Nothobranchius furzeri: one gene and its partners. The main gene of each other region encodes a partner of the protein of the gene in region 6 in a complex. Links are inferred from orthologs where the notes say so. Each region holds a gene or a part of one and is shown on either strand. Other genes may lie near its edges.

Region 1 (3,503 bases), on a different chromosome or scaffold from region 6:
GACTATTTCTGGGTTAAAGGTTTCTGAAAAACACTCTGATTGGTTGTACTTCAACACTTGATGGCTGTTGACGCACACTTCAAAGGAAGCGTTTAGATCCTTTGAAGTGTTCTGTGGAAATGTTATGAGCGATTAACTGTAGATATATCTTTGAATGGCATAACTGGTTAGTTCTGATTGAACAGATGAGTGAACATTATTACAAAATGCTTTAACCCTTTGATGCATGAATTATGAAATCTTCAACCATGATTTTTTTCATTCGTCTTTAGGTGTGAATGAAACAAATTTCAACAAATATATATTTTTTTTATAATTTACAAATAATTTATTACATGTCCACCTCAGTGGGCAGCGTGCATTCTGAGCATGAAACATGTTGGCTTGACTTACTGAAGTCCAAATGGAGGGGCTCAAATGCCATCAAGTCTTCAACAGCTGTGCTTTGTGCAAAAACAAATAAATAACAATTTTGAGTACCTGTCCACTGTAGTGACCATTATGCATCAAAGGGTTAACACTCACAATTATGAAATCCCAGCCAGATGTGCCACAGCAGGTCATCTCTTCTGCAGACAGCAACAAAGTTAGGAAACTAACGACATACGGGTACATTTAAGGTGTAAAAACTCTAATTTTAAACTGCAGAAACACCTGATATACCACAAAAGTCTCTCCAATCCAAACAGCAGGAAAGATAATGAAATGTTAATTTATTCACGCAGTTTCCATGGAAACACTTAAAAAAACCTTAACAATCCTTTCCAACACGTTGGCAGAAAGTTTCATTCTTCAATGTAAATAACAGATGTTGGTTTTCCTGTTGGTGTTGGGACTTATTTGAAACAAACTAACTTTATTTGAGAGTTTCCGATGACTTGACAGTGTAAACATGTCATTAAAACAGTCAGTTCTGTTATTCAAGTGAGAACCACTAAAAAATACACAAACCAGTTAGCAGGAAGCGACAAACAAACGCGAGTTCATTAGGAGCCGTAATTGGCTTCATCAAAAGCTTTCCGGGCTCTCTTCAGCTCCTCGTTCATGGTCAGGAGGTCTTTGACTCTGGCGAACTTTCTGGGATCCTTGCGAATTAGAAAAACGATGTCCTCCACCTGGACGCGGCCCTGGCGCCCGATAGACATGGCTTTGTGGGTCATTTCCGTGATGAACTCGATCACCAGATCCTCCAGAATATCCACAGACTCCGTGTACGGGTTCTGGTCGTCTCCAAACCCGTACATCATGCACCGGAGCTCCTTAGAGAAGAGTCTCTTTCTCCTGCCGTGGCCGACATCCACTCCGCTGGACCCGTCCTCCAACTCCTCCTCGAAGCCAGCCTCGTCCTCCTCGTCCGCCATTAATTCTGGAGGAAAACGCCGATAAAACGAGCCTTAACGACGCTTTACTGTAAGATAAACCTCACACTTACAACATGCAAACATCAAAATGCGTTTTAGAGAACAAAAATTACATTTTACTTTGAAAACTGGATCACAACAATCCCCAGACTCTTCTACGTTCGTTGTTGTTCTTCTTCTTTGGTATTTTTGGGCTTCAGCGTTTGACACGCCAACTTCAAATTGCATGACCGCCACCTACTGGACTGAGTTTGAAACGTCAGCGCAGATCTAATCTTTTGAATAAATTCTTGTTTAAAATCGAGATTGAAACGAGTCACAAATAAATAAATAAATAAACAAAATAAATTAATAAATATTAGAGCCATGAGAGTCACACTGACAGGCTGAATTCAACAAACGGAAAAAATAACGACTTCATATGTATATTAGGTTTATTTCAGATCTGCATCTATTCCAATTGTTTTCTTGAGTGTTTTTGTTTCTACTTAGCCAAACTATATCATGAATGATAATGAAGTTGAAGCTTTTTGGCGGTTTTTGTTTTCTGCTTCTCTAACCCAGCATGCATTTGTGAATAATGTGTCAACCTCCGTTGAAGGCGTAGAAGAAGAAACATAGCGGAAAGAAACACTAGCTCAAATATCTAGTGCCTTATTTTCTTTCTTTCTGTGCTCAGACGTGTACACAAGATCAGAACCGGTAAGAACTACACTAGAGTCGCTGGTTAGCTACTAAATGTTTCTATGTTAATGTTGTTAAAACGTTTAGAGATCCGAAAGTTGCGTTAGCTTAGCTGTCAGCTAACGGCTAAAGATAGCAACTGCTTGGTTGTGATGATTCTTCACAAGCCATCTGGTAAACCGGACACACTTTATATTATATCTAGATGTAAAGTAGGATGTGTGTGCTACGCCGTTCATCTCCACATGTCTCGTTAGCTGTTAGCTGTGTAGGCTAACGCTGTGGCTGTGGTAACACAGTCTTAATGACTTTTTGGTTTAATTTTATAGCATCTTCCAAATCCAAATCGCATGGTTCTTGGTCAGAATTATAATAAAGGTAAATAAAATACAATTTAACGCTCCTAGAAGTGAAGGGTTTTATTTACAACTCTCCTTAGTTGAGAACTTTATTTTAAAAAATAGTTTATTTTTAAGTTACATTAACAAGTCATGGCTGTCTGCTAGAGCTTGTTAAAGCTAGACCGGATGTGTCTTTCAGGTGTATAGGGTGAGGTCCCCCAGTCATTTCAGATAATCTAAGTTGAATTATATCTCACATATTTACATTATCTGTTGTAGATAAGGATGTTCTGTTGAATCCGAATAACATATCTCATATGTTTGTTGTTTTTCCCCTTAGGTCCTTATTCTAGTGAACCATTATGGGTGGTGTGGTGGGGTGCAGAGGTATTTTGGAGATGCTCCCTCTGCATTAACAGTCCATTCTGGACAGCTGGTCCTGGAAGTCCCGGATGGCGTGCCCAGTTCAGTTCCTCTTCAGAGGTCTTTGCACTATTGGACTGGTCCTCCTCTACTATGTCTTCTCTATAGGCATCACATTCTATAACAAATGGCTAATGAAGGTAAATGAGACCCATTCCCTTTCCCAGAGTGTTACTTTATTAGAGCTTCTTATTTGTTTCTTGATTGGTGCCCATCTTAATCCATATTATGTCTGTCTCCTGGAGTTATGGTTGCCATTTTTTTTTCCCAACAGCGGTTCTCGTTAATCCTGTCTACTATTTCATCTCACTCAGGGCTTCCATTATCCTCTGTTCATGACACTGGTTCATCTCGTCATCATCTTCTGTCTATCTTGTGTGACACGATGGGCCGTGCAGTGCTGGACAGGCAAACCTCGCGTCATCCTGAGCTGGAGAGACTACATCTTTAAGGTGGCTCCAACAGGTACATGGACTCAAATCCTTTGACTGTTATTCTGGGATTCAGAAAAGTGGGTGAAGGTCAAACATGAACAGATTGTCTCTATAGTGTTAAGCTGCAATAAACAAATAACCACAGACTAATATTGTCTGATTTTTCCACATTTATCAAAAGTGGGACTTCTTTCTAACAAAAAATGTGTGTATTTTCAGCATTTAACAGATGTCTTTACCTCTTAGAAAAATGTCTCTCA
Region 2 (4,918 bases), on a different chromosome or scaffold from region 6:
TATTTCGTCCTCATCGACCTTGTGGCGCTTCTCTTTTTTCTTCTCTGGCTCCACCTTCAGCCTCTTAGAAGCAGGCTGGCCAGAGGTTCCCTCATCCTCGTCGTCTCCTGCTGTCGTTTCCTTTGCAGAGGGAGAAAAACGTGGAGTGATGCTACAATCAGGCACAACTAAACCGCAGTGCCCAAACTGATAAATATTTGTTCAATTTTCCAGATTTCTGCACACACAACTCTTTCATCTACATTTTCACACAGGTTTAGAAAGTGAACCGTAGTGTTCAGTTACTACATTAGCTGCTTTTATACAAACACTGTTTGGGTTCTTAACACAGACTGTTCATTTTGGGGTAACGGGCCTTAGCAAAGTGTTTTGTTTGTACTTAAATTATCGTTTTTAGGTTTAACACAAAGATTGGAGAAGAGCAAAAAGTTCACAACAAATGGCTTAAAGGGTGATTTGGTTTAACCACCTGAACAAAAAATGTGTTCTCTGATGTTTTATGAAACCAGAAATCACATTTTATGCGACATGTACCAGATAGTGGGTTTTTGTTTAATGATGACCACAAAACTGATTTATTTATTAGAAAATATGTCCCGTAAGAGTCTAAGCAAACTACAAGTTTCTATCTGCTGTAAATATAAACACATAAAATATCCAGTTGTCCTATTATTAGTAATAATGTGTCCAGGATTAGATGCAGGGGATCAGGCCCAAACCATCACACCACCACCACAAATCTTCACTTTGATGTAACAAGATACCTACTTTGTTCATGCAAGCATAAACATTTACACACCTGAGAACACAGCTAAAATAAAGCTGATCTTAATTAAAACAGGTTTTAATGTAAGGAAACTTCAATTATGGCTCTTCTCTATAGATTCATGTTTTACTATTTAGAGCTATCAACTCCTGTCAATGTTTCCGCGCACCATTATGGTTAGCTTCACTCACAGCTTTAACCAGAGGTGTGGGCTGATCCTGCACGCTCGGTTCTTTATTTTCTTCTGTAGGTTTTTCTGAGACGAGTTCATTTTCAGGTTGATCCTTCCTAACTACTTCTTCATCGATAGCAGAAGCTGCCGTCTTCGGAAGAGAATCTTCTGTTTTGATCCGAGCAGGATCTGCCATCGTTTCTCGACGTCTCTCTACGATTCAGCCTCTGCAAACATAAAATGTTCTCAACATAAATTTATCTGGATAAATATAGACCAATTAACTGGTAAACAATCCAAATATGCTATTAATAAACTTGAAATCAAAATAAATGATACTCTGGTGAAAGATCCTCTTATCATAGCTACTGAAATGAATAAATACTTTGTTGACACAGTTCGAGATATAACTCAACAATTCACACCGTCTAACGGTGTTTTTGATCCTGTAAATCCTTGTCATGCTGTTTTCAGGATAGAAGAAATAACAGAAGTGGACAGCAACCAATCAAAGGCAAAGGATGTATATGGTCTCTCGACACCCATTTTTTAAAACTGCACAAAGATGCACTAATTCAGCCGGTAACTCATTTAATTATTCTATCGTTTAAACAAAATGTTGTGCCTTTAGCATGGAAGCTAGCTGCAGTCACGCCAATTGACGAAACTGAAATGGCCAATTATCGGCCCATCAGTATTCTCCCCACTATCTCCAAGGTTGCAGAAAAGTGGGTGGCAAAGCAACTGAATGCATATTTAAATTTTGGACACACATCCCTACATCCAATGCAATTCGGATTTCGTAACTGCCACTCCACAGAGACTGCAAATTGTGTCTTTGTGGAAAAAGTCAAAAGTCTCCTTGACAGGCATGCATGTGTAGGAGCTGTGTTCATAGACCTCAAGTAGGCTTTCGACACGTCGATCATCAAATTCTTCTAAACAAATTGAGTCATTTTAATTTCTCACCAGAGGCGCTGCTCTGGTTTCAGTCTTATCTGTGTGACAGAAAACAATATGTGTCCTTGTTTGGCAATAAATCCTCCTACATTAGTTGTCCAGTTGGAGTTCCCCAAGGCAGTATTCTGGGGCCGATTTTGTTTATCATTTATATTTATGATCTTCTCGAAGTATGTTCAAAAGTAAACATACAAATGTATGCAGATGATGCTGTTATTTTTACTGATACTAAACGTCCTCAGGAAGCCTCCCAATTGTTGACTGCAACCATGGCCCATGTACAAAAATGGGTCAAGAGTTCCCACTTAAAGCTGAACATAAAAAAAAACTGTTTGCATGTTTTTCACCAAAAAAAACAAACAATTGAACTAAAAAAAATCAAACATCTTTCTTGAAGGGGTAGAACTTGATATTGTCAAAGAATTCAAATATCTTGGGTTAACTTTGGACCCAACCTTAACTTTTAAGAATCACATTAAACAACTTTTAAAAAAAAACTGTCAATTATAATGTCATTTTTTTAACAAGTTAGACCTTTTTTCACTCCATGCTGCAAAGTTATTTTTACATTCTATGATTTTGTCTCACATGGAATAGTGTATAACCTCCTGGTCACTTGCTGCTGGTGCAACACTCAAACCCATAGAATCCCTTTTTTTAAAAGCCATAAAAATCCTTGATAAGAAATCATTTAGTTTCCACCACTGCTTTGTTTTAGATAAATATAGACTTCTTAATCTTAGTAACTTTGTTACCTTCAAGAATGCTTGCCTGTTTTTTAAGGTTTTACATGGACTAGCCCCTTTCCCACTGACAGATTGTAATAAATCGCGGTCTATCAGTGGAACGTCGACCAGGGCTACAGATAGAGGAGACTGTGAGGTGCCTTACAGACGCACTGCTTTTGGCCCGACCACACTATCCTAACTAAATATTGGACTAAATATTGGAATAGTCTACCACTCAGCATAGGTGACTCACAGTCATGCAGTTCCTTCAAATTCAAACAATGGCTGCAGGAAACCCAAACCCGTATCCATCAGTAATTTGTCCTCACCGTGGTGTTTTGTGTGTTTTCTTTCTGTTTTTCCTAGTTTTAAATACAATACTTTACTTTCTTTTATTGCTTTTATTACCCGCCTAGGGACTGCAGATGTAAATTAGCACTGGTGCTACAATCTGGCATATTTACCGATGCAATTTATTGTTGAAGTTCATTAATATGCACTGTCCCTATTAAATAAAGAAAGAAATGAAATTTACCGTTAAGGTGGATTTTCACGACAGAAATAACAGCATATACATACCTTCAAGCCAGAACGAGCTCAACGACACCACAGGAAGCAGCAACAAAACTAATTTAAACGTATTTTAGGTAGCCGTGAACAGAAAGTGGATTAAACATGATACATTTGTATAATATGTTAAAGCACACAACAAACGTGAAAAGCTAAGCTAGCGCTTCTTTCTTCTTCTTCTTCTTCTTCTTCTTCTTCCTTTTCTTCTTCGTGGGTTAATGGCGTTTGGAAAAAAAAAATGTTGTCGCCCCTTACCGCACTGGAGGGTAGCTGATGAGGCGAATTCATAAACTCTAGGGAATCTTGAACGTAAAATAGTGCTGTTCTGTTTATTGCCACCAGCATAGAGCTCATATTTTTCATTTAAGGAAAAAACAGACTTTGGAAGAAATTAGATAGTCTTTCTACTCAGGAAGTCTTTTACATGTATTAATCCAGATTTATTTCCTTCAAATCCTCCTCCTCCTTCTCTTTTGTTATGTCCCCGACAGGAGATGTTAAAATGTGAAGGAGGGGTAACATAAGAAATGCGACAGCGGGTTTAAAATGGCTTTAATTGTTATAAAAGGATCTACCTGGATAAGATGCCTGTGTGGAGCTTGCTTCAAACTCAGTTTTTCATTGGCTTTTTGTGAACGAAGAGGTAAATTGCTTTCCTCTAGTGGCGAAAAGCCGAAACTACACGTTGGTTCTGGTCATTTTTAGTCATTGGGTAAAACATCAGTAGAAAACATGTTAGCGTCCTTATATCAATGAGGCTAGAAACTGGAGTTTGAAGTAATTATCTTTAGGTAAGATAATACTTCTTTTTTACAAAACGTACTATCTCTTTAACAAACGTAAGCTAACGTGCAACAACAACGACGACCCAGCGCTGTGATTGGCTGGAATGAGCCGCGAGAAACGGAAAAGGAAGTGGTAGATGTTAGGGGAGGAGCTTAAGGTAGAACGGCCATGGCGGGATGCGTGAAAACGACACACTGTTGTTACAAGTCAGCAATAACCAAAGTTTTAGTCTTCGTTGTACTCTTTATCTGTTTACCCCAGTCTTCACTCCAGAGTACTGGTAAGAAGCTGTGTTACAAAGTGGGAAAATACACAGTCACTTACTTTATTGTGTTTTAACTCAGGCTAATCCAGCTAATTAGTGTTAGCTTGTTTCTTTCACAAAGTGAAACTGCTTGTGTGAGTTTAGTGGTGCTTCATACGTTCCTCTTTAATTCTGTTGGTTATACATGTAGTAGTTAACATCACCCCAATTCCCTTTTCGTACAATTCCTTTACATTTCACATGGATAAGCTATTAGTTGGGTTTATCCAAAAGATAAATCATTCTAACAATTAGCAGTAGATGATAATCTCACAGGATTATCCAGTCCAGAGACATGTCTGCTTGTGAAATCCAGGGAAAGCAGCCCAAATAATTGATCTGCAGGATGGAGAAGAGTTCACCATGTCAGGATCTAACCGGTTCTGCTACAGAAATGCTCTAGTGCCGACTTGGAGGCAAACTTGGACACGAATTCAGGTGAGTTTCTTGAACTATTATTGTATGTAACTTTTATTCTAACTGAAGTGATAAGATTCACTGATCCACTGAGTCCTGGCCAAGATGGCATCTAAAATAGTTTCAAAATAAAAGAAGACAGCAAACTACAGGGAAAGAGAGTTTCCAGATTTATACATCTCAACACGATCACTCAGTAACAACATACAGCTAAT
Region 3 (3,048 bases), on a different chromosome or scaffold from region 6:
AAACAGTATCGGATTATATCTGCCGGCATTAAAAGTCTCCGATATAAGCGGTCCGTTAAGATTCACATTTTTGTAAATAACAGTTAAGAAAAAAACTCGTGTTTTTCTAACTTACTGTTATTGGCTCTTGTTCTCTGATTGGCTCTTGTTCTGATTGGCTCTTGTTCTCTCATTGGCTCTTGTTCTGATTGGCTCTTGTTCTCTGATTGGCTCTTGTTCTCTGATTGGCTCTTGTTCTCTGATTGGCTCTTGTTCTCTGATTGAGTAACATCACTGGATCAAGCCTTTCATACATTCCGCACTACGAAACAGGTGAACGTTTGTGTGAACACTGCTGATATCGTATCGGTATCGGTCAATTATGAAGGCTGCGATATCTATCGCATCGGAGGCCCCCGGGTCGACCCAGGACACGTTGGAGAGGTTACATCTCCAATCTGGTCCGGGAACGCCTTGGGGTCCTGCCGGAGGAGCTGGTGGACAAGGCCAGGGAGAGGACGGCCTGGAGCTCCCTAGTTGGGATGCTGCCCCCGCGACCCGGACCCGGATAAGCGGAGGAAGACGACGACAGTGAAGTGAAAACGTTTTATCAGAACATCCCTAACAGAATTATTCTGAGACTGGTGAAACCCTGTCCAGATGCCTCACTGGCTGCCAGTCAACTTCAGGGTTCATTTCAAGATCCTGGTTCTGGTCTATAGGGCCTTACATGGACAAGCACCATCTTACATTGGTGATCTTCTTAGTCCCTACACCCCCAGCAGGTCCCTGAGGTCCAGTGATCAAAGCCTACTGGTTGTGCAGCACCAGGCTAAAGGTCAAAGGTGACAGATCATCAGACTGACCTCTCTCCCTCTGAGCCTGAATCAGTGGACTCAGTGGTCTCCTGAAAAACACTTAATCGAGCAGTAGAGGGCGATAAAGTCCTCTGCTGCTCGCAGATAAACGGGAGCGATGCCACCGACATCGATGCTGGCTCTGATGGAGCGGATGCCAAAATGTCAGCTAAGGTAAAAACAAGCTCCTCCTACTCGGTTTGACAAAGAACCAAAGAAATGGAGTCACCAAGTGTTTCATGCGGGCTGAACATGAAAATAGTCTCCTACACCTATCTCCTGCTTTCTGATAGAAAACAGACGGTGAAACTCTGGGATCAGAAAATCCTGACAGATCTACGTCACGCCGTCACTAACGTTCATGGACTTCACCCGTCTAGACCCGCAACGGGGGAGGCTGTTGTTGGTTTAGTCCAGAGAACATCTCCGCTGGTAGAAGCGAACTGTTAGCGACTCCACCACAAAGCAGAACTTCTCTAGGGTTGTTGTAGAGCTAAAACATCCACATTTCAAGTCAATGGTAAAGGCGTGCTGCTGTCATCCAATCAAAGAGCAGATGTGTAAATATGAGGAAGTAAGACACCAGACGCTGCCGTCCGGAGCTCGGCTGTGATGCTTCCCCTGTTCACCAGACATCATATCTGCTGTTCGCGGTTCTTCGTTTGCAGCTTGGTTGTACAGTGTACATGGAACACACACACACACACGCACACACACACACACACACACACACACACACACACACACACACCTGTGTACATCTCTGTACACTAAAAAGAACGTAAAACTTTTCCGAGTTTTGATGGAAATAGAAAAATGAGCATTAGGAGGGCAGAATGGGAACCTGTTCCCTCAGTCTGGTGAACTATTCTCAGTCATTAAACCAAACCCGACCCAGCACGGTGGAACAAGTCACACAGGAGGGCAGGGCTTAGGGACCGTCTACAAAGTGCATCAACCTGCTACTAAAACTGGATTAATCCTGACTGCTCGTGTGTGTGTGTGTGTGTGTGTGTGTGTGTGTGTGCGTGTGTGTGCGTGTGTGTGTGTGTGTGTGTGTGTGCGTGTGTGTGCGTGTGTGTGCGTGTGTGTGTGTGTGTGTGTGTGTGTGTGCGTGTGTGTGCGTGTGTGTGCGTGTGTGTGTGTGTGTGTGTGTGTGCGTGCGTGTGTGTGTGTGTGTGTGTGCGTGTGTGTGTGTGCGTGTGTGTGCGTGTGTGTGTGTGTGTGTGTGTGTGTGTGCGTGTGTGTGTGTGTGCATGTGTGTGTGTGTGTGTGTGTGCGTTATCACCTTTCTGAGTCTTCTTCTCTGCAGAGGCCTGAGAGGCCATGTAGATGGCTGCAGCAGCCACTGAGATGGGGCTCCTGCCGGGTACCAGGTCGAGCTCCACAGCTTTCCTGGCGATGAAGGTGGCAGCCATTTGCACCTGCTTGGGCAGGCCCAGGTTGGAGCAGAATCGGGACATGAAATCACCGGTGGTGATCAGGTCCACACTGGTCTCCAGAGCCTTCAGGATCAGCTTGAAGCACCTACCTATCTCCTTCTTTGAGATCCGAGAGACGGCGCAGATCTCTGCAGAACAACACATTTCAGTGACAGGGTCACGTCTCCAGCAGGCCGCTGTGAGCAGCACTAATGAAACGTTTTAGAGACATTAACACCTGAGAACTTGCAGCAGGAAACCTTCACCCCTGAGAAGATCAGGTCCCCAAACTAAATGCATCCCAACTCTCATTTAACGAGGGATGTCTGGACACCTGAAGAGGAAATAAGTATTTATCTGACCTTTAAAGGTTCTGGGCACCCCCTCCTGTCTGCAGGCGATGTAGAGGCAGGCGGAGGCGATGGCGTCGTTGGCTCGGCCCTTCAGACTCTTCTGCTCGTAAACCTGCTTGAACAGGTTGTTTGTTCTGTCCTGGAGAGGAGAGCCACACAGCGTGTCAGCTGGATGTTCACCTCTACAGGTGTTTAAAATCACAAACATCGTTCTGTTGGGTGAAAAACCAAGTTGATCAACTTTTCAGTGTTTAATAACTCAGATGATGTCACTCGTCTGCAGCTTCAACAAAAATCTAGCTCATTTGTGTCACTGACGGCGTGACGTAGGAGGGGCAGGACAGCTGAGTCGGTCACCACAGCGTTAGCGTAAAGCTCACAAAAGCATCAAAATCAGTCCAAATGATGAAAGTTTATTCATGTGGAGGTCGTTCCAAC
Region 4 (5,130 bases), on a different chromosome or scaffold from region 6:
GGAAAAGTCAAGAGAGAAAGCAAAAGCTCACCAATATTCTTGATTTAATCTCCTGTGCAACTAAAAAAGAACAAAAAATAACTTATGCAGAGTGCTAAAATAACAAAACAAACTGTTTTAATTTGATAAGGGACATATGTTATTACCTCCCACCTCTTTTGAAATCCTGTTGATATCTGGATAGTTCTAGATGGAAGGAAATGTTACAGAACAATTCAATCACACCGAGCTCTGCAAAAAGAAATAAATCAGCCTTGACCAACAAAGTCCTGGTTGAATGAGAAATAAACTAATTATATAAGATGATTTTTAAAAGCTCCTCCTTGAACCGTCACCTTGGAAGAGTTTGAGTGCCCTATGATCCTAGGAGCTATGCTGTCTGGGGCACTTTGTGCCCCTGGTAGGGTCTCCCATGACAAATTGGTCTTAGGTGAAGGGTGAGACAAAGAACGGTTCAGAGGATCTTTCATGGATGTACAATCAAAGAGTCACCCGGCCCTGAGGGTTACCGGGGTCCCACCCTGGAGCCAGGCCTGGGGTTGGGGCCCGTGAGCGAGCGCCTGGTGGCCGGGCTTCCGCCCATGGGGCCCGGCCGGGCCCAGCCCGAACCGGATACATGGGCTCATCCAACTGTAGACCCACCACCCGCAGGAGCAACATGAAGGATCCGGTGCAGTGTGGATCGGGTGGCAGACCTGCCGGAGGAGCTGGTGGAGAAGGCCGGGGAGAGGACAGTTTGGAGCTCCCTAGTTGGGATGCTGCCCCCGCGACCCGGACCCAGATAAGCGGAGGAAGACGACGGTTTTTAAAAGGATACAGCACAGAGCTTTGGCAAGGGATCCAGCCAGAAGAGTATCAGTCGAATTTCCCGTCAATTCCGCTGCAAAAAAAAGTATTTAGTCATCTATTTACTCCAAATTCTTCCCTACGTCACACAGACTTGCACCTACTCTTGGACATGATATCCCTGATCTCTTCAGCGATGAGGTTGTTGGTGACAGATAGGAGCTCATATTTTCCATCCCTGCTGGAAGACGTATCATCGTTCCCTTTCAAACGTTTACTTGGATACAGGAAGTGACTGAGAGGAAGAAATGCAAATGGAATTTAACCTCTGGATGCATTTATGGACATTTCAATGTTGACCTTTTGTTAACCTACATGAACTTGTAGGTTAATTGGGATCTATCAAGCAAATGTAAAACAGTCAAGTTTTGCTCAAATCTGGAAACTATAGGAAAAGTTATTCCATGAAGTATAAAGTTACCTGTCCTGGCAGTGAGCAGCGATGACAGCCAGCTGGTTAGTCCTGGTCATAGCCATGTGTGCGTTTCCCATCACCATGACTGCATCCAGACACTTGGACAAAGTGAACTTTAAAAAAGAAAAAGAAAAAACAAACATAAATATATATATATATTTTTTCATCACTCCTCTAAATCCGAGACCATGGTCTTGAGTCAGGAAAGGATAGAATGCCTTCTCTGGGTCAGGGATGAGGTCCTGCCCCAAGTGGAGGAGTTTAAGTATCTCAGGTTCTTGTTTATGAGTGAGAGAAAGATGGATCAGGACACTGACAGGCGGATTGGTGCTGCATCTGCAGTGATGTGGGCATTGTGCCGATCTGTCGTGGTGAAGAGAGAGCTGAGCCGGAAGGCAAAGCTCTCGATTTACAGTCGATCTACGTCCCTACCCTCACCTCTGGTCACAAGCTTTAGGTAGTGACCGAAAGAACGAGATCATGGATACAAGCGGCCAAAATGAGTTTTCTCTGCTGGGTGTCTGGGCTCTCCCTTTGAGATAGGGTGAGAAGCTCAATCATCCAGGAGGGGCTCGAAGTAGATCCGCTGCTCCTCCCCATCGAGAGGAGCCAGTTTAGGTGGCTCAGGCATCTGGTTAGGATGCCTCCTGGTGAGGGTTTCTGGCAGGGATGTGAATCTTAGAGCAACTCACTATTTGATTCAATTCTGATTCTTGGGGTGCCGATTCGATTCTGGATTCTCAAATTAAATCGATTCACAATCAGTATTAACAAAGCATGTCAGCGCCAGGATGAACTACTTTGTTGTACAAGTTAGTTAAAGCTATGGGACATTTTTATTTGACTTTAAACTGGTCATGCTCCAAAAACGCAAATTTACAATGTAAAATAAAGTGATTCTAAAACTGTAAACAGAAACAATCTTTTGACCAAAAGGCAACATTTATTTTTGCTTACCTTGTAAAATATAACAAATCTGTAGTTACCTAACAGTAGCTTTGAAAGTAATATGGTCAAATACTTTTCAAGTATGTGTAGAAAAAGTTACATGAGTAATCCTGAGTACTCATTTATCAACTTAGAAAATAAATAAGAGAATATCTCAAATTTCTGAGTATGGAAAAAATTACATTCAAGTGCCCTCTTATCAGCAGATTCAAACATAAATCATCTCAATTTATGGGACCACAAAAGTAAACGGAGTACTGACTCTCCTATCAAAGATCAAAAAATTGCATCTCAAACCTGTAACATGCCAAATATTTGAGTTCTTGGAATCGATTCTGAATCTTTATAAATAAGAATCCCGATTCAGACTTGAATCGGGTTTTTTCAGCACCTCTAGTTTCTGGGTACGTCCAGACCCAGAACATGCTGGAGGGAATATGTCTCTCGGCTGGCCAGGGAATGCCTTAGGATTCCCCAGAGGAGCTGGGCCAAGTGGCTGGGAAGTGGAAGTCTGGGCCTCTCTGCTTGGGCTGCTGCCCCCACGACCCGACTCCGAATAAGCGGAAGAGAATGAATGGATGGATGGAATGTGTAATATGAGATGTTGGTAATCAAAGTATTTTTGTAATCCAACACATTTCTAAAGTAGTAACTGATGTAAATTATAGAAAAGATTCATTCAAATAATATTTGGTGACTCAAATAGGAGAGAAGAACTTATCCCATGTATTAGATCTTGTCACAATTATAAAATATCCTGATTTAATATTAATAAACCATAATCCGTTTGTCTGACTTAAAAAGATTATATATCCTTACTACATATTGTCAAAATGTGATTTTAGTGACACTGCATATAAATAAATAAATAGTCTGTCACCTCCGGCTCGCTCTGAGCATGCTGGCCCCACCAGATCGGATTCACGTCCACCACAACCACCAGGAGACTGATTTCTCCCTCTGAAGAAATGAATGTATAAAACACCATTCTGCAGACTTGAAACAACAGTAATATATTGCATCAAAAGAACGTAGTGAGACAATAAGCAAAACAAACCTGATGCCATCTCGAAAGTATTTAATCGAAACAAAAGAAACTAAAGTTTTTCTAACAGATTTTTCTGTTGATAACTTCCGTCCATGGTAGAAGACCGAACAAAAAGTGTTTAGGGAAAAAAGCTTTTTGTCGCCGCTAGATGTGCGTCATCACTGTGCGACGAGTTTCTTTTTCACTGCTACAAACCAGCGCAGTGCTGCCACCTGGACTGTTGTTTTGTTTGCCAAATATCACATCCATTGCAATAAGCGGAGGGGTACCAAGCCCTCATTTCCATGCTTCTTGAACGAATTTAAATTATTCTACTCTTCATTAAGTAAAATGGAAAAAATGCGAGAATTATCTCACGGCAAATAACTGAGAACTGTTTTGAGTTTCCTTTGTAAATCATGCTCCTTTGTTTTTTATGTTATTTTGCAGCACGAAGGTTGCAGGTTCGAAACTCGGCTGTGGTCTTTCTGCGTGGAGTTGCGTGTTCTCCCCATGCATGCGTGGGTTTCCTCCGGTTTCCCCCACAGATCACAACATGCCATATAGGTTATAAATTGTAATAGTCGCTTTGGATAAAAGCGTCTGCTAAATGAATAAACATAAACATTTTCCTTTTCTTTGATAAGCCCCTAGCCTGTTTTTAAGCTTACATCCTCCATGAGAGTTTGTACCTTAATGTCGTACCTTGTTCTGTTATGTCTTTGTTCAGGAATAATAATTAAAAAATAAATAAATAAACAAAGCAGTACACCGGTCACTGTTCACGTTAATCAATATGGCGGAGTCACCGGTAGGTGAAAAAATAAACAATATAAACATCTAAGAAAAAAAACCTGGACTGTGACTTTTTTGTGACATCACACCAACGCCACAAAATATTTTTTGTGGCGTTGGTGGAAAGTAGAAAACACAACTACTAAAATATGTACACAATAAATAACAAATGTATTTGTTGAGATCTAACAAAGTGGATAGGCATGTTTCTCTGAAACTGTACTTCACACACCTGTTCATGTTCGTAAAAAAAGTTCTTGACCCTAACTGAAGCAGCTGTTTCTCATTCGTTAATTAATTAAATGTATATTCTAACAAAATGCTTCTGTTTAACAGCAAGTATGCATCTGCATTTAAAAAAACTACAAAAACTAAACATTTTTGTAAAACTACTAAAGCTAATACAAAAGAAAAAAAAACAGACTTTATTTGGACATATTATAAAATCAATTTGCATAGGTATAACATTTTATTAAAACGATCAATTTCATAAATGGCCTGTACTATATAGCGCCATAGGGGTCTTTTTTTCCGTCTTGCTTTCTGGCATCTTTTTTCTGTTAAAGTCAACTTCTTTACAGTCAGATAAAATGACAAAAGATAACAATACATACAAACATGAAAAATAAATGAATAAAAAAAGGAATATAACCTCTCAAGGCACTTCACAACACAAGCAGTCATTCACATGCTGGTGGGGATGAGCTACAGTGTAGCCACAGCTGCCCTGGGGCGCACTGACAGAGGTGAGGCCTGTCATGCACTGGTGTCACTGGTCCCTCTGACCGATACCAGCAGGTAAGTCGGGTTAGGCGTCTTGCCCAAGGACACAACAGCAACATTCTCCAGTGGGAGCTGGGATCGAACCTACAACCTTCCGATTGCTGGACAATCCACTCTACCTCCTGAGCTGCTGCTGTTCCTGACTCAAATAAGTTCCATTGTATATCATGTAAAAAGCACAAAAGAAATCCCCTACATTTCTGATACAGTTAGCTCAAATGGGGTTTCGTACAATACCTCTAGCAATGGTGGCTGCACCCTGTTCACATAAAGTTTTGTTTTCATCCATCTGCTGGGATATTTTTCATTAAGCATT
Region 5 (4,993 bases), on a different chromosome or scaffold from region 6:
CCAATGTGCATGGTTACAAATCACACAATGTAAACCAACCACTCAGACTTCAGTTTGTATGCTCATTGATGGGTTTTCCAAAACTATTTTCAGTGACTGTGCACTCACTAAACAGTTGTTTACTGTATGTGCTGCACATCATGTGTGATGTTACACGTATGGGGAGTGTTTGTTCAACTTCTCTTCCCCACAAACCCATGCCCTTTGACACAAACACGTGCTAATCTCTGTAAAAGGTGGCCTCATAAATATGCATGGTCTCTCCTCTGTTGTGGGAGGAAACGCGGCTTCGGCTGTATTTAAATGGGAAGTCTGCTCCAGCCTCTCCACCTGCGAATGCCTGATCGTGCCAAACACTTGGGAGAAATTCACATTTTTGACGTCTGCCTTAGAGTGAGTATCATTCATTAGCCAAATGTCTTTGTGATAATTGTTTTTTCCACAAAAGAACACTACATTAAACTATTATTTTTCTTCCAGCAGAATCATTGCATATCAGAAAATGGACAGCACCAACGAAATCATCCTTTTTGCCAAGGAAATGCTGAGACAGAAGCCCAGCTGGAGCATGCTTAAGATCTACATGCTCGGCTCGACTCTGGCGATGATCGGGATGGTCGGTGGTGTGGTGGAGATGATTCTCCAGCCCTTTTTAGACAATCACAGCCCAGGGGAAGAACAAGCAAAGTTCTACATCGAGATGAATAAGGAAAACAGTACGAGCAAATCAGACTCTGCCACAGTTCATGCCGAAGTTGAGGACATGATGGGAGCAGTATCGTTTGGAGCCAAGACTAAATATCTGGGGACATCTATCCAGAGAAGCTCAGCCAACCGCTTACATGCTTCTTAAAGAAACACTCCACACCACTTAAAAGGACAAAGATATACCAGTATTGTTGGTGGTGGTGGTGGTGGTAGCCTGCATTACCAAATCAAGCAGCTCATTTTTTATTCTTTAATTTATTTCAGATATGGTTAAATGTGTAGTTTTTCTTAGCTGGTGGCTAAAACTTAGCTGAAATGTTACAATAAAAACTGCAGGATACAGTTTAGTAATGCTGCTGGGCAGCAGGTTCCAATGGCTGACATGCACTGGGTGTCTATGGAGCTCATGAAATGCCATTCGTGTCATTCATTTTGTACTTAAATAAACATTTTTTCTGCTCGCAGAATTTTGGCCCTAATTTAAAGCGCCCACAGATTCAGATTTATTCGACTTTAACGGTAGAGGTTTAAGCTTTATGCATGAGGAGAATTTTATTGAGTAAAACAAAAAGTAATGTGTATTTAGCACTGTTCGCAGAAAAAATATCACCAAGGGCTTCACAAATAAAAACTGTAAACACCGCATACAACCTGTGTAAAAATGTGCTCGTAAAAACAAAAGAACATAAAATAAGGTATAAAAAAATTCTAACGTAATGTGTTTTCAGCTGTTTCTCAACACAATCTTTTCAATAAGAGCACAAGGACAGAGCTAAAGTGTGGGAGCCACTGCTCGAAAGGCCCGACCACCTCTGGTAACCAGTAAGCAGTAAAACTGGGGAGATGTGCGCCCTTACTGGTACGTTATGTCAGCAAATAGCCACTAGATGGCAGAGTGAAAGACTCTAATACTCAATTTCACTTCCGCAACAAAAGCGGAAATTACGTCATAGTATGAGCTGTGTTTACAATCGACGGTGAAGCGGTTTCTGGATAAGTAGAAATAGAAGAAGAATTGCATTTGTTAGAGAAGGAAACCTGGAGCTAACCTCTTATGGCGGATCCAGCGGTAGTATCGGGAGGGTCGCTGCCCTCCTGCGGGGTAAGAGATGCTTTTTAGGGCATTAGAACGCGCCAGCTAGCTTACAAGCGCCTCTCATCGCCACAGTTATTACTACTGTAAATAAACATGTTGGTCCTTGGCACGAGCAGTAGTATTTCGATAGATATTTACATTAAGCTAGCACCTTACAACGCCAGGGTTTGTGTGTGTGCTCTTTCAGCGTGGCGCTAAAGCGGCTTCCAGCGCCGCGGAGAACTACCAGCTGGCCCGCCGTCGCACCCTGCAGGTTGTTGTCAGCGCCCTGCTGACCGAGAGCGGCTTTGAGAGCGCAGAGAAGGCCGCGGTGGAGACGCTCACGGAGATGATGCAGAGCTGTAAGTGTTTACAAACAGTAGCTTCTGTCCGCTGAGCACGAGCTTCCAACACCAGGTTAAGGCTATTCAGATGAATGCATGTTTACGTCTAAACTTCACTTGATCTAATCAGTCTAGGTTAGTTTAAAGAGCAAGTCACCCCCAAATCAACTATTTTTTCTGATAAACTATATAAATGCGTGTCTAATCGTGCTGCAGACACGTGTGGTCAATAGTTTTGCACTTTAGTGCATTTTAGTTAAAATTTAAATTTTCTGCCTTAAACTGTCAGTGTTGTGCCGTTGTCAGGTAAAAACTCTTCACTGCATTTGAATTTAAATCTGCCACCGCTATTGGCTAAGAGGTATGCTATGATGTAAACTGGTACATTATGATGTCACAATGTCGTGCGTGTGTGTATTTGTTAGTGGCTCCACCCTCTCGGTCTGCTAGGCAACAGCATTTGTTGCATTTTTCAAACATGAAGTGGGAGTGGAGTACGCTTCTTGTAGGGGGTGACTTGCTCTTTAAAGAGCCTCCGTCCTCTATGTTTCAGCTGTTTCTGCTCCATCTGGGGCCCCATTTATAAACAAAACCGGGTCTGAAAACCGCGTGTGTCACTTTCCACGCACATTTATAAAGAAAACCTGACAGGAAAATGCGCACAACTTTAGGCAAACCCCTGTGGAGTCAGGGAAACTAGCAGCACAGCAGGTGAGATGACAAATGGTGAATTCAAGCCGCATTTGGACCCTCGTGTCTGCGCACGCACACACACAAACACACACAACCACAGTCAGCTCCCTCACCCGTCTCTGAATAAATAAAATGAGAACTTAATAAAAAATATGTCGCTGTTAAGAGATCACAATGTGTTCAAATGAACGTCTTCAACCGGAGTCACGTCCAGCGTTTAAAGAAGTTAAATAAGAACTAGTGACTGCAGGTTATGACTCTGAGAGCTTCTATCCACTACTGTGTTGTACGATTGGTGCTGGCCTTTGATGAGGTATTTGTTTGGTTGTTTAAAAGCGTGCCTGTAGAGTTTTTGAAATACTAATGGTATCATTTTCCTGTAAAGATATAAGTGAAATAGGTCGTTGTGCCAAAGCATACTGTGAACACACGGCCAGGAGCGTCCCAACCCTCTCTGACACGGTGGTCACACTCATTGAAATGGGTAAGACTGAAGGTGCATCAGCATGGTGACATGTTTTTTTTTTACTGTGAACACACTCCTAATCGGTGATTGTTTGTCCTTGGAAAGGTTTTAATGTCGACACTCTCCCCGTGTACGCCAAGCGGTCACAGAGGATGGTCATTACAGCTCGTAAGAAACAAAACCTGACATTTCTGCTGTTAGAGCTGTGATGATACCCTAGGATATCAAGTAACGAGTCACGGTTGTAGGCTAGTTTTAAGTTCTACATGTTTGTATTTCCTGATTTTTAGCTCCAGTCACGAACACACCAACAACACCTAAATCCCTGTCAGCTGGGCACAAGCGCACTCACCCACCTCATATTCCTAGCCACTTCCCAGAGTTTCCGGACCCTCATACCTACATCAAAACACCTGTAAGTTCATCAACATAATCTCCATAATAGCCCTATAAAACCACGTTCACCCCCATAGTGGGTGATGTTGCATAAACAGGTGTTTTGCGAGGCTCTCCTTCCTTCCCTCAGACATTCAGAGAGCCTGTGTCCGAGTACCAAGTGGTGAGAGAAAAGGCAGCGAACCAGAGGAGAGACGTAGAACGGGCCCTCACACGCTTCATGGCCAAAACTGGAGAAACTCAAAGCCTCTTCAAAGACGACGTCACGGCCTTCCCATGTGAGGGATCCCGACTGTACATTACCCGTCAGATTGTGTGTAACCCTGTGCATTAATACAGAATAACACATTGCTGTTGTTAGTGATCGCAGCTCGGCCAAGCACCATCCCATATCTGAGCGCCCTCCTGCCCTCGGAGCTGGAACTGCAGTCGCTGGAGGAGACGGACTCCTCTGAGCAGGACGACCAGACCGACAGCGAGAACACAGCTGGAAATATGGTGACAGTAAGTCTTCACAGCTGGGAATTGGTGCCAGGCGCAGTAGAGTAGTAGTAAAAATAACTTTTTGAAGGTGCCATTCTGAAGGTCTAAACTAAGAGGAACAGGGCAATAAAAAGCAGCACTTAGGATTGAAACAGAGAGAGTCGCAGCTACACTGCGGAGTGTGTTAGAACGGTTAGGAGTAATAGGAAGGATAAGGCGCTATCCAAAATAACACAAGAGCTCTTTATTGGTACTAGTGTGGTGTTAGTGGAGTAATCAACAGAGATACGTTTCTGCGATTAGCCAGGGATGGTTCAGTGTCCAGAAGAAGTTTGATCTGAAATGAACTTAAAACAGTTGGAGGCAAACCAGTCTCTGATTTCAGCAGCAGACCTGCCAACTTGTACGCAATCTGGCATCTATTTACGCTGGTACGACTCACCCCTCTAAACTACCTGAGTTGAGTTCTGTGGCGAATATGCACGTGTGGTACTCATGTCTGACTCAGCGGCGTGGTGAAGAAGTTTAAGCCAATCATCGTAGAGAAGCAGAGAAAAGCTATCCTGCCTAACCTAGCGTAACACCCCCGCCCCCCTCCTCCCTGCTTCGTCCTGCCCGCTGCTCCTCTCTCCTGTGTGTGTGTGTGTGTGTGTGTGTGTGTGTGTGTGTGTGTGTGTGTGTGTGTGTGTGTGTGTGTGTGTGTGTGTGTGTGTGTTTGTCTTTATCCATTGCAGATAGATTTGGCCTGTATATAAGGAGGAATGTGATTATTTATACAGTTTAAACAAGCAGCCATTATTTTATTTTCGCAGCTCGTTTTGCAGCTCA
Region 6 (4,244 bases):
CCCTACTCCCTGGTTTAATGACAGCCTTCACAGTCTAAAGCGCCAATGCAGAAAAGTTGAGCGCTTGTGGAAGAAAACACATCTCCACGTCCATCTGCTGCACCTAAAGGATCTTCTGACATCCGTTAGCTCTGCAGTCAGAGACACTATTTCTCCAACCTGGTGTCCCAGAGCAAAGGGAACCCCAAGGTGCGGTTTAACACCATCAGCAGCATCGTCTTTCCTGCCTCTCCTACAGCCTCCATCCACTCTGTTGCAGACTGTGAGATCTTTCTGTCTTTCTTTGTGGACAGTCAATAAGGTCAGATCTAGCATCTCTCCTTCAGCCTTATCGCTGCCTCTCCCAACTCCAACCAGGCCCATCATCCTAGATAGCTTTGCTCCTGTTTCTGTGCCTGAGTTAACCAAACTAGTTAACTCTATGAAGACCTCTGCATGCCCCCTCGACATCTTACCCTCATCTTTGTTTTAAAGTGCTTTTCAGTCCAACAGTCCCAGCGTGCTCTCCATTATTAATGCTTCTCTGGTTTCTGGTCAGGTCCCTGCTTACTTTAAGAATGCTGTAATCCACCCGCTTCTTAAAAAACCGAGTCTTGACCCCTCTCTCCATAGCAGCTTCAGACCCATCTCTAAACTTCCGTTCATCTCCAAGATCTTGGAAAAGGTTGTGGCTAAACAACTCACAGCTGCTCTATTAAAACCTGGATGGCTGGGAGCTTTCTACAGCTGAATGAAGATCGTTGTCGTCTTCCTCCGCTTATCCGGGTCGCGGGGCAGCATCCCAACTAGGGAGCTCCAGACCGTCCTCTCCCCAACCACCTCCACCAGTTCCTCCGGCAGGACCCCAAGGCGTTCCCGGACCAGATTGGAGATGTAACCTCTCCAACGTGTCCTGGGTCGACCCGGGGGCCTCCTGCCGGCAGGACATGCCGAAGCACCTCCCCAAGGAGGCGTCCAGGAAGCATCCTGACCAGAAGCCCATACCACCCTTGTTCTTAAAATTTAATGATTTTGACATGTCAGTTCCAACATAATCACCTACAAATGATTCTCTTTTGACTGATGTTACATGGGAGACAATCCTGACTTGTCTTTTTTATGATGGGTATCAAATAAGCCACAATTCCTTTTGTAAGAATGATTGTATTGTTTAATACACAAATTACTTTATTTCAGATATTCAGAGAAATTATGTATTTTCTGCAGCTCTAACATCCAACTACAACATGTTTTAACTCTTACCCAGAGGTTTTCCCTAAACTATTTCTATACAGGGATTCAGTATTTTAGTCTTCACAGTTTATTTCTTCATGGTGACTTTTGGTTTTACGCAAGAGACTTCAGCTGTAAAATGTTGCTGCAAAGAAAACCAAGTAGACTTGAGTCATATGTACACTTTTATTGGGTGGAAAAGAAAACAATGGACCAAACTTCTTCGAGTCTGCTGGGAGGACAGAAATCAGACAGAAGAGACAAAGATGGAGACTGAACATGTCACTAAATAAACCAGACTTTTAACTAGTTGCCATAAACGTCACTAGCTGACCGTATAACACATAAGACCACCAGCAATGACTTCAATGTGATCCTACTTGAGTTTTAATTTTAGACAAAGGCCAAACAGCCAAAATTCTGCTGATTTGAAACAACCAAAAACATTTTTAAAACTATACTGCATGGGTTTGAAATTAATATTAATCATAAGAGCTTTTTTTCCCTTATATCAATATTGAGCCTACTGAAATCCCGCTGAAGAGCTGCATCGACTTTAAGATTGGCATCACTTCTCATTCTAATTACAGAAGAACATATACACACATTCAAGTTTAACCATTAAACACTTTCTTCCTGTAACCACAACAAACCAGTTCTCTCTTTCAACAGAAAGATTGTTTCACGACTTCAACCAGACAAAGTCGAAAGTTATCAAACGCCTCTAAACAACTTAACTGTTTAGCAGCAGCAAACATTCATGGACAACTTGGCCAGTCAAATAAAGATTAGCTCAGCTTGAGTTAATGGGCGTCTACTCCCAATGAGTGTAAAAAAAAAGTCATTAATCAGGATTATTTTCTACCTTAAGGGAGTAAGCATAGGATTTAAAATCCCAAGTATCATGTACAGCAGGGGATTTAAAGAGAGGTCAACAAATGCTAACAGCTGAGAGTATAAAAGTATTTAAAACAGCTTCACATAAAACCAGCAGTCCTAGTCGTCGAACTGCTTTTCTGCTCAACAACACTTTACATTTTTTACAGTCATATGTACAGTTGGGGATGAGATGGGACAACAAAAACCTGCAACCACAGGACACAATAAACATGGTCAGAGTGAAAGAACAACCTTTAAAATGATGATTAAAAAAATTGAAGACAGAAAGATGGATGAAAAAACTCCCAACACCTGCATCAGTCTACCTTCTCATTAAAAATGTGACATTAAATAATGAATGAAATAAGAGGATCAGGTTTCAGGAGGTGGAAAAGAAACCCCAGGTCCTACGTCGTTTTGCGGAAACCTTTCAGAATGGGGTAAATGTTTTCAAATGCTTCGTAAATCTCTGATCTCACTTTGGCCCCTTCAGGAAAAACAAAAAAGATTGAAACATGGATCAGTATCAAGATGAATCTAGAAAACTTACAGAATCTCTTGTTCTATTTTAAATAAAAAAATTACAATCCTTTCAAAATAAAAGGAGATCCAAAACAATGTGCCAAATTATTAGGTGATACTTTAACTAGAATCTAAAAATACACCCGTCTGAGAGCTCGGGCCTTACCTGTGAGCACTACTTTCCCAGAAACAAAGATGAGCAAGACGATTCTGGGTTTGATCATTCTGTAAATCAGTCCTGGAAACAGCTCCGGTTCATAGCTACAAAACACAAGTTAGACTTTCACAATTATATGAATTTTAAATTAAAAAAATGTACCATTTTTAATTAAATCTTTGCAAACATTAGCGATGCTCAGATCAGGTTTTTTGCTGCTTATGGATTGGCCATAAATGTATCAATGCTGTTATTATACTTGCTACATGATCTGGAATAAAGGAGCAATAATATTGCCCAATTTTGACAAAATCATTTTACAAAATACAAGACTTGTCAGTGTGTTTCTGACCAGAACTTATAAGCCTTCTACTATTTTCAGTTCAACTCAAGATGATCATGTCCAGGATGACAGAGAAGCTTCCCCTTGTGCTTAGGGCTGTAGCGAAGCCTCGACTACGTCGACGGCTCGATTCTAAAAATTTGTCGACGTCAGATCCGGAAGTCGACGCACCGCGCCCACTTGTTGCATCCCCAGGAGTTTGTAAATAGAGGAGGAATCTGCCTGTTTTTCCTCTAGTTCGCCCTCTTCTCCGCCTTCACTAACATCTCCGCCAAATACCGAAGACCCGGAACAATGTCCGTCCACTACTAGATTATTTTCCTGTTTTGCCCGCCTTCGTCTCCCGGCAACGGACAACAACTTCCGGGGTCAGATGCGCTGCTCCGTCTCTATCGCAGATGTAGAAAATCACCGGGAGCGTTTCTCCCTTCATAAAGGAGCTTCTTTCAGACATTAGGAGAGCTGTTTTGGTGGTAGCAGTCTCTCCTCCGTGCTGGTCTGTTTGCTGCTGGGTGTTTTGGTTTATTTAAACTTGGTAACTTGAACTTAACGTTGGTAAAGCTACTGTTAGCATCTTCGCTAACAGCTTCTTGCGTTGGGATAAGCTGTTACGTTTTGGTTTAGAGTTAATCTTTTTTGTGGTGTAGATCTCCCTTTTATTACATTTAGAGTGTTGTGGGTTTTCGGTTTAGTGTAAAATATCACCTTGAGTTTGGTTTAACCCGTAAGACCACTCGCCTCACGCACATAAGTGACCAAAACAAAGCAGCGTGGAGACACTCCATCTTCTACCACCTCTCAGGCAGCAGCCTGCACTCCCAAGTTCTACACGTCACCAGAACATAACCAACCGCAACACAATAAAAGCAGTGTTATACAAAATGGAAGGCCTGTAGTGTTTATTCTCTTACAGTAACAATTTATCAATTTTTTTGAGGAATTTATTTGAGATTTTCTGGTTTTTGTTAATTGTGCAATAGAAAAATAATCATTAGATTAATTTTCTAAATAGTCATTAGAATAGTCGACTATTCGATAAAATAATCGTCAGAATAATCGTTTTAAAAATAATCGTTTACCCCCAGCCCTACTTGTGCTGTATTTTTGTTACAGGATGCAAAGTTTAGATCA
Region 7 (4,915 bases), on a different chromosome or scaffold from region 6:
TCAGAAGCCGAGCACAGGCAATCTGAACCACCTGTAGACGGTTCAGGGAGGTTCTGCTCAGACACGTGAAAAGAGAGTTACAGTAGTCTAAGCGTGAGGAGATGAAGGTGTGGAGAACTGTCTCAAGTTCAGAGCGGGACAGAATGGGACTCAGCTTAGCAATGTTCCTGAGATGGAAGAAGGAAGAGCCAACAAGAGAACTGACATGAGAATCCAGGGTGAGAGATGGGTCAAAGGTCACGCCAAGATTCCTGACGGAAGGTTTGGTGTGAGAAGCAAGCTGACCAAGAGAGTCTCTGACTTTGGGAACCAGCTTGTCTGGGGCACAGATGAGGATCTCAGTCTCATCTTCATTCAGCTGTAGAAAGCTCCCACCATCCAGGTTTTGATAGAGTCTAAGCAGGTGTGTAACAGCTGCAGCTTAGACATCTCATGGGGCTTAAAGGAGATGTACAGTTGGATGTCATCTGCATAAAGATGGTAGGAGATTCCTTTAAAGGAGCTCAGGATGTGCTGAAGAGGAATTGCTATTAAATGATGCTTAATTCACATTCAGCAATTGTTGTTTTGTTCCTGTTTAAGATAAGGAGTGGAAGTTTTCCTAGACAAAAACCTGCAGATGTGGCCTATTTAATCTATTATATGAACTCAATGGGCATTAAAAGGAAAAACTGGTAATAATTCTGGTTTCAGCAGCGTGAAAGTGAACTCTACAACCTGGTGTGAGGCACACTTGTAACATTTAATCACTATTGTATGTTTGCTTATGTCTTCAGGTAATCATTAGAGGTGCTGAAAAAAATCGATTCAAGTCTGAATCGAGATTCTTATTTATAAAGATTCAGAATCGATTCACAAAGATTCAGAATTGCTTCCAAGAACTCAAATATTTGGCATGTTACAGGTCTGAGATGCACTTTTTTGATCTTTGTTAGGAGAGTCAGTACTCTGTTTACTTTTGTGGTCCCATAAATTGAGATGATTTATGTTTGAATCTGCTGATAAGAGGGCACTTGAATGTATTTTTTTCCCATACAAAGAAATTTGAGATATTCTCATATTTATTTTCTAAGTTGATAAACGAGTACTCAGGATTACTCATGTAACTTGTTTCTACACATACTTGAAAAGTATTTGACCGTATTACTTTCAAAGCTACTGTTAGGTAACTACAGATTAGTTATATTTTACAAGGTAAGCAAAAATAAATGTTGCCTTTTGGTCAAAAGGTTGTTTCTGTTTACAGTTTTAGAATCACTTTAGTTTACCTTGTAAATTTGCATTTTTGGAGCATGACCAGTTTAAAGTCAAATAAAAATGTCCCATAGCTTTAACTAACTTGTACAACAAAGTAGTTTATCCTGGAGCTGACACTCTTTGTTAATACTGATTGTGAATCGATTTAAATTGAGAATTGAGAATCGAGAATCGATTCTGAAACGAATCAGCACCCCAAGAATCGGAATCGAATCAAATTGTGAGTTGCTCTAAGATTCACATCCCTAGTAATCATCTTGGTGGTTTTAACAGGAGGCGTATGATTTATGTATATCAAGTGTGACAAAAATATCAACAAACAGATCAAAAATATCAACAAACAGATCATTTAATCTTAAACTTACTTTAGAGTATTTGGGATTAATTTCATGTGTTGTTGCGTCAAACGGCTTGCCATACACTTTTGATCGTAGCGGATCGTAGTCAAAGCCGATGAATTTTAAGAAGGCGGGACTTGATTCGTGTCCATTGACGCTTGGTAGTACCGACCAATCTGAAGGCTCGATCTTGCGTAGTCGGTGGTTCCCGTTTTTCAATTTCGCACATGCGCAGTTCATTTTTAAAATGGCGGCCGTACAGGGTGGTATGGTCGACGCAAAAGACGAATTAGACATAAAATCCGAACCGCCGAGCGATGGCTTCGGAAACAGCAATGCAAACGACGGAAGGCTACTTTCCTCGTCCCCCGGAGCCGGTACCGGCGGTACCGCGACTGGAAACAACAAACCTGCCCCGGGACCACCTGAGGAGCAACAGACGCTGCTGGCAGTTCTGCAGTTCCTCAAAAAGAGCAAACTGGCGGAGTCCGCTGAAATCTTGCGTCGTGAGGCGGGACTGCCGGAGGATGCTCTGGACCCGAAGGGGACGGACGCCAGCGGGTCGGGACCGGGGCTCGCCGCGGGGAGCGGGCAAGTAGACGGCGTGGACGCCAGCTCTCTGCTCAGCCGGGTGACGGTGTCTTCCTCCGCCGCAGCGCAGGCGCCAAAGAAGGGTACAGTTTGATCCAGCTACGTGGAAGCGGACCGCATAGTTGTAGTTAAACACGTGATTTTAGTCACACATCACAATTAAGTCATCACACACTTTTACGGTTGGATAATTAAAACACGTGTTGTTGCAGATTCCAGCCTAGCTGCATGTTTTTACTCACTTTCCGCTTCTCCTGCTGGTTTATGCTTGGTCTCAGAAGTGGTGACTAGTTATTGTTTTTTGCATCTCATGAAGTTTTTTCTCTTTGTCCTGTATGGATGACGTGGTGTCCAGCAGCAGCTGGGGAGGACCAGCCAGATGTGAGCGTGGTGCTGTCAGCTTACAGCCAGCAGGGAGATCCTTCTCTGTATGACGCCTACTACAGCGGCCTCAAGAGGTTCATAGAGTCCGTTTTGGACTGTCACCGCGCGGAGCTGTCCCAGCTCTTCTACCCGCTGTTTGTCCACATGTACCTGGAGCTGGTGTACAACAACAATGAAAGCGTGGCCAAGGCCTTCTTTGAAAAGTAGGTCTCTTTATCCTCCAGCCACATTCTGCAGATCTTCTTCTGTAAATTCCCTGTTTTATTTATCTTCCCAGGTTCAGTGGAGACCAGGAGTGCTACTACGAACAGGACCTACGTATTCTCTCCAGCTTGACGAAGAAGGAGCACATGAAAGGCAACGAGACGCTGCTGGACTTCCGCACCAGTAAGTTTGTCCTACGGATCTCCCGAGACTCGTACCAGCTGCTCAAGAGACATTTACAGGAGCGGCAGAACAACCAGATATGGAATATTATCCAAGAGCACCTGTACATCGACATCTTCGATGGGATGCCGCGCAGCAAGAGCCAGATCGATGCAATGTCGGGCAGCCTGGCAGGAGAGGCCAGACGAGAAGCCAATAAGGCTAAGGTGGGTTGAACAAACCCAAGATGAGGCCAGGTCTCCATTTTAACGGAGAGACCCGTTGAAGCACGTTTTACTTTATCTGGCGTAGGTTTTTTACGGCCTGCTGAAGGAGCCAGAAATTGAGCTGCCCCTTGACGATGAGGATGAAGAGGCCGAGAACGAGGAGGGTAAACCCAAGAAGAAAAAGCCCAAAAAGGATAGCATGGGCTCCAAAAGCAAGAAGCAGGATCCAAACGCTCCTTTACAAACCAGGTGTGGGTTGGTCACGCAACAACTTACCACGTTCCTCCCGCTGATCCAAACGTACACCAATGGAGGAAATCCTTTGTTTGTTTTTCTGCTGTTCAGGATACCTCTCCCAGAGCTGAAGGACTCTGATAAGCTTGACAAGATCATGTACATGAAGGAGTCCACCAAGAGGATCCGTTTGGGGTCCGACAACCTCCCGTCCATCTGCTTCTACACTTTCCTCAACGCGTACCAGGTAAACGAGCACTAACCAGTAGGGTTGATCAAAGCTAAAGGTTTTGTGGCGATGTAAGCTGCAGCTGATGCTGCTCGACCTCCACAGGGTCTGACCGCCGTGGACGTCACCGACGACTCCAGCCTGATCGCAGGTGGTTTTGCTGATTCCACGGTTCGGGTGTGGAGCGTCACGCCGAAGAAGCTCCGCAAGGTCAAGTCTGCAGCAGGTAGAGCGCGCGGCCGAATAATCGCCTCTTTAGAAGTTCTGCAGATGTTTGGAGTTAAAATCCTGTGTTCTTTGTCTTTTTTTAGATTTGAATCTGATTGACAAAGAGTCAGACGACGTTCTGGAGAGGATCATGGACGAGAAGACGGCCAGCGAGTTGAAGATTCTTTACGGACACAGCGGGCCGGTGTACGGCATCAGCTTCAGCCCAGACAGGTAGTACCCACAATGCAACATGACCATGTTAGCCCACTCATGGTTTTACGCTAATCAAAGATTCTGAGAACAGCATTTTGTGACAAACTGTCGTCGTCTTCCTCCGCTTATCCGGGTCACGGGTCAGCATCCCAACTAGGGAGCTCCAGACCGTCCTCTCCCCGGCCTTCTCCACCAGCTCCTCCGGCAGGACCCCAAGGCGTTCCCGGACCAGATTGGAGATGTAACCTCTCCAACGTGTCCTGGGTCGACCCGAGGGCCTCCTGCCGGCAGGACATGCCCGAAACACCTCCCATTTTGTGACGAACTGAACCCGTAGAAATGTGACAAAACTGAATTAAAGGGGACATTAAACTAGGGCTGCAACAAACGATTATTTGGATAATCGATTAATCGGATGGGGTCTCGACACGATTAATCGATTAATCGGATTACATGGGGGAATTTTTAAAAACTGCTAGGGAAACGTTATTTCTCTCCTTCCTTCACTTTATTAAACACAACATTATTAGAAAACAGTTCAATAGCAGAAAAACAACATGCCATCACCTAAATTGTCTTATAAGGTGTATAGACAGAGACCCTAAGCTACATCTATCTGTGACCTAAAATGCTTGGTCCAAGTTAAACAGCTTAAGGGCAATTCTCATCTGTTTTGTTTGATCTCATCTGTTGACATTTATTTTAAATGTAATTAAACATAGACTGTGAATTAATCAAAATTGATCACTATTTCCAAAAATGACTGAAAAAATACCAAATAAAACAAAAGTAAATGAATGCCATCCTCCTTGCGATGATGCCCTGGGCAACTGCCATAAAGTCACATCAAGAAATGCTGCTGATCA

The links.
Region 1: tbp (region 6) and taf13 share a complex: the UniProt entries of both Homo sapiens proteins name them as parts of the TFIID basal transcription factor complex. The link is inferred for Nothobranchius furzeri from reciprocal best matches to the Homo sapiens genes TBP and TAF13.
Region 2: tbp (region 6) and taf11 share a complex: the UniProt entries of both Homo sapiens proteins name them as parts of the TFIID basal transcription factor complex. The link is inferred for Nothobranchius furzeri from reciprocal best matches to the Homo sapiens genes TBP and TAF11.
Region 3: tbp (region 6) and gtf2b share a complex: the UniProt entries of both Homo sapiens proteins name them as parts of the TFIID-containing RNA polymerase II pre-initiation complex. The link is inferred for Nothobranchius furzeri from reciprocal best matches to the Homo sapiens genes TBP and GTF2B.
Region 4: tbp (region 6) and gtf2h3 share a complex: the UniProt entries of both Homo sapiens proteins name them as parts of the TFIID-containing RNA polymerase II pre-initiation complex. The link is inferred for Nothobranchius furzeri from reciprocal best matches to the Homo sapiens genes TBP and GTF2H3.
Region 5: tbp (region 6) and taf8 share a complex: the UniProt entries of both Homo sapiens proteins name them as parts of the TFIID basal transcription factor complex. The link is inferred for Nothobranchius furzeri from reciprocal best matches to the Homo sapiens genes TBP and TAF8.
Region 7: tbp (region 6) and taf5 share a complex: the UniProt entries of both Homo sapiens proteins name them as parts of the TFIID basal transcription factor complex. The link is inferred for Nothobranchius furzeri from reciprocal best matches to the Homo sapiens genes TBP and TAF5.

What each region holds. Positions count from the first base shown.
Region 1 is NC_091755.1:48,193,385-48,196,887, reverse strand, and holds taf13 (transcription initiation factor TFIID subunit 13), read right to left. Parts: upstream 1,597-3,503; 5' UTR 1,482-1,596; exon of another isoform or gene 1,475-1,481; intron 1,409-1,474; 5' UTR 1,362-1,408; coding exon 987-1,361; 3' UTR 697-986; downstream 1-696. Other genes in the region: slc35c2 (solute carrier family 35 member C2), read left to right, coding at 2,839-2,949, 3,124-3,274. UniProt on the Homo sapiens protein: The TFIID basal transcription factor complex plays a major role in the initiation of RNA polymerase II (Pol II)-dependent transcription.
Region 2 is NC_091755.1:54,208,251-54,213,168, forward strand, and holds the start of taf11 (transcription initiation factor TFIID subunit 11), read right to left. Parts: upstream 3,396-4,918; 5' UTR 3,206-3,395; intron 1,166-3,205; 5' UTR 1,135-1,165; coding exon 958-1,134; intron 121-957; coding exon 1-120. Other genes in the region: nemp1 (nuclear envelope integral membrane protein 1), read left to right, coding at 4,151-4,262, 4,603-4,724. UniProt on the Homo sapiens protein: The TFIID basal transcription factor complex plays a major role in the initiation of RNA polymerase II (Pol II)-dependent transcription.
Region 3 is NC_091751.1:71,401,085-71,404,132, forward strand, and holds part of gtf2b (transcription initiation factor IIB), read right to left. Parts: intron 2,750-3,048; coding exon 2,620-2,749; intron 2,407-2,619; coding exon 2,125-2,406; intron 1-2,124. UniProt on the Homo sapiens protein: General transcription factor that plays a role in transcription initiation by RNA polymerase II (Pol II). Involved in the pre-initiation complex (PIC) formation and Pol II recruitment at promoter DNA.
Region 4 is NC_091757.1:46,814,140-46,819,269, forward strand, and holds the start of gtf2h3 (general transcription factor IIH subunit 3), read right to left. Parts: upstream 3,423-5,130; 5' UTR 3,277-3,422; coding exon 3,267-3,276; intron 3,170-3,266; coding exon 3,090-3,169; intron 1,375-3,089; coding exon 1,268-1,374; intron 1,082-1,267; coding exon 951-1,081; intron 881-950; coding exon 818-880; intron 177-817; coding exon 147-176; intron 61-146; coding exon 32-60; intron 1-31. UniProt on the Homo sapiens protein: Component of the general transcription and DNA repair factor IIH (TFIIH) core complex, which is involved in general and transcription-coupled nucleotide excision repair (NER) of damaged DNA and, when complexed to CAK, in RNA transcription by RNA polymerase II.
Region 5 is NC_091755.1:40,694,840-40,699,832, forward strand, and holds the start of taf8 (transcription initiation factor TFIID subunit 8), read left to right. Parts: upstream 1-1,634; 5' UTR 1,635-1,762; coding exon 1,763-1,810; intron 1,811-1,991; coding exon 1,992-2,145; intron 2,146-3,205; coding exon 3,206-3,304; intron 3,305-3,391; coding exon 3,392-3,454; intron 3,455-3,576; coding exon 3,577-3,701; intron 3,702-3,812; coding exon 3,813-3,960; intron 3,961-4,043; coding exon 4,044-4,186; intron 4,187-4,977; coding exon 4,978-4,993. Other genes in the region: g0s2 (G0/G1 switch protein 2), read left to right, coding at 251-393, 481-853. UniProt on the Homo sapiens protein: The TFIID basal transcription factor complex plays a major role in the initiation of RNA polymerase II (Pol II)-dependent transcription.
Region 6 is NC_091749.1:35,004,844-35,009,087, reverse strand, and holds the end of tbp (TATA-box-binding protein), read right to left. Parts: intron 2,875-4,244; coding exon 2,780-2,874; intron 2,579-2,779; coding exon 2,499-2,578; 3' UTR 1,385-2,498; downstream 1-1,384. UniProt on the Homo sapiens protein: The TFIID basal transcription factor complex plays a major role in the initiation of RNA polymerase II (Pol II)-dependent transcription.
Region 7 is NC_091746.1:23,735,664-23,740,578, forward strand, and holds the start of taf5 (transcription initiation factor TFIID subunit 5), read left to right. Parts: upstream 1-1,782; 5' UTR 1,783-1,842; coding exon 1,843-2,269; intron 2,270-2,541; coding exon 2,542-2,773; intron 2,774-2,847; coding exon 2,848-3,163; intron 3,164-3,248; coding exon 3,249-3,412; intron 3,413-3,508; coding exon 3,509-3,644; intron 3,645-3,731; coding exon 3,732-3,852; intron 3,853-3,937; coding exon 3,938-4,067; intron 4,068-4,915. UniProt on the Homo sapiens protein: The TFIID basal transcription factor complex plays a major role in the initiation of RNA polymerase II (Pol II)-dependent transcription.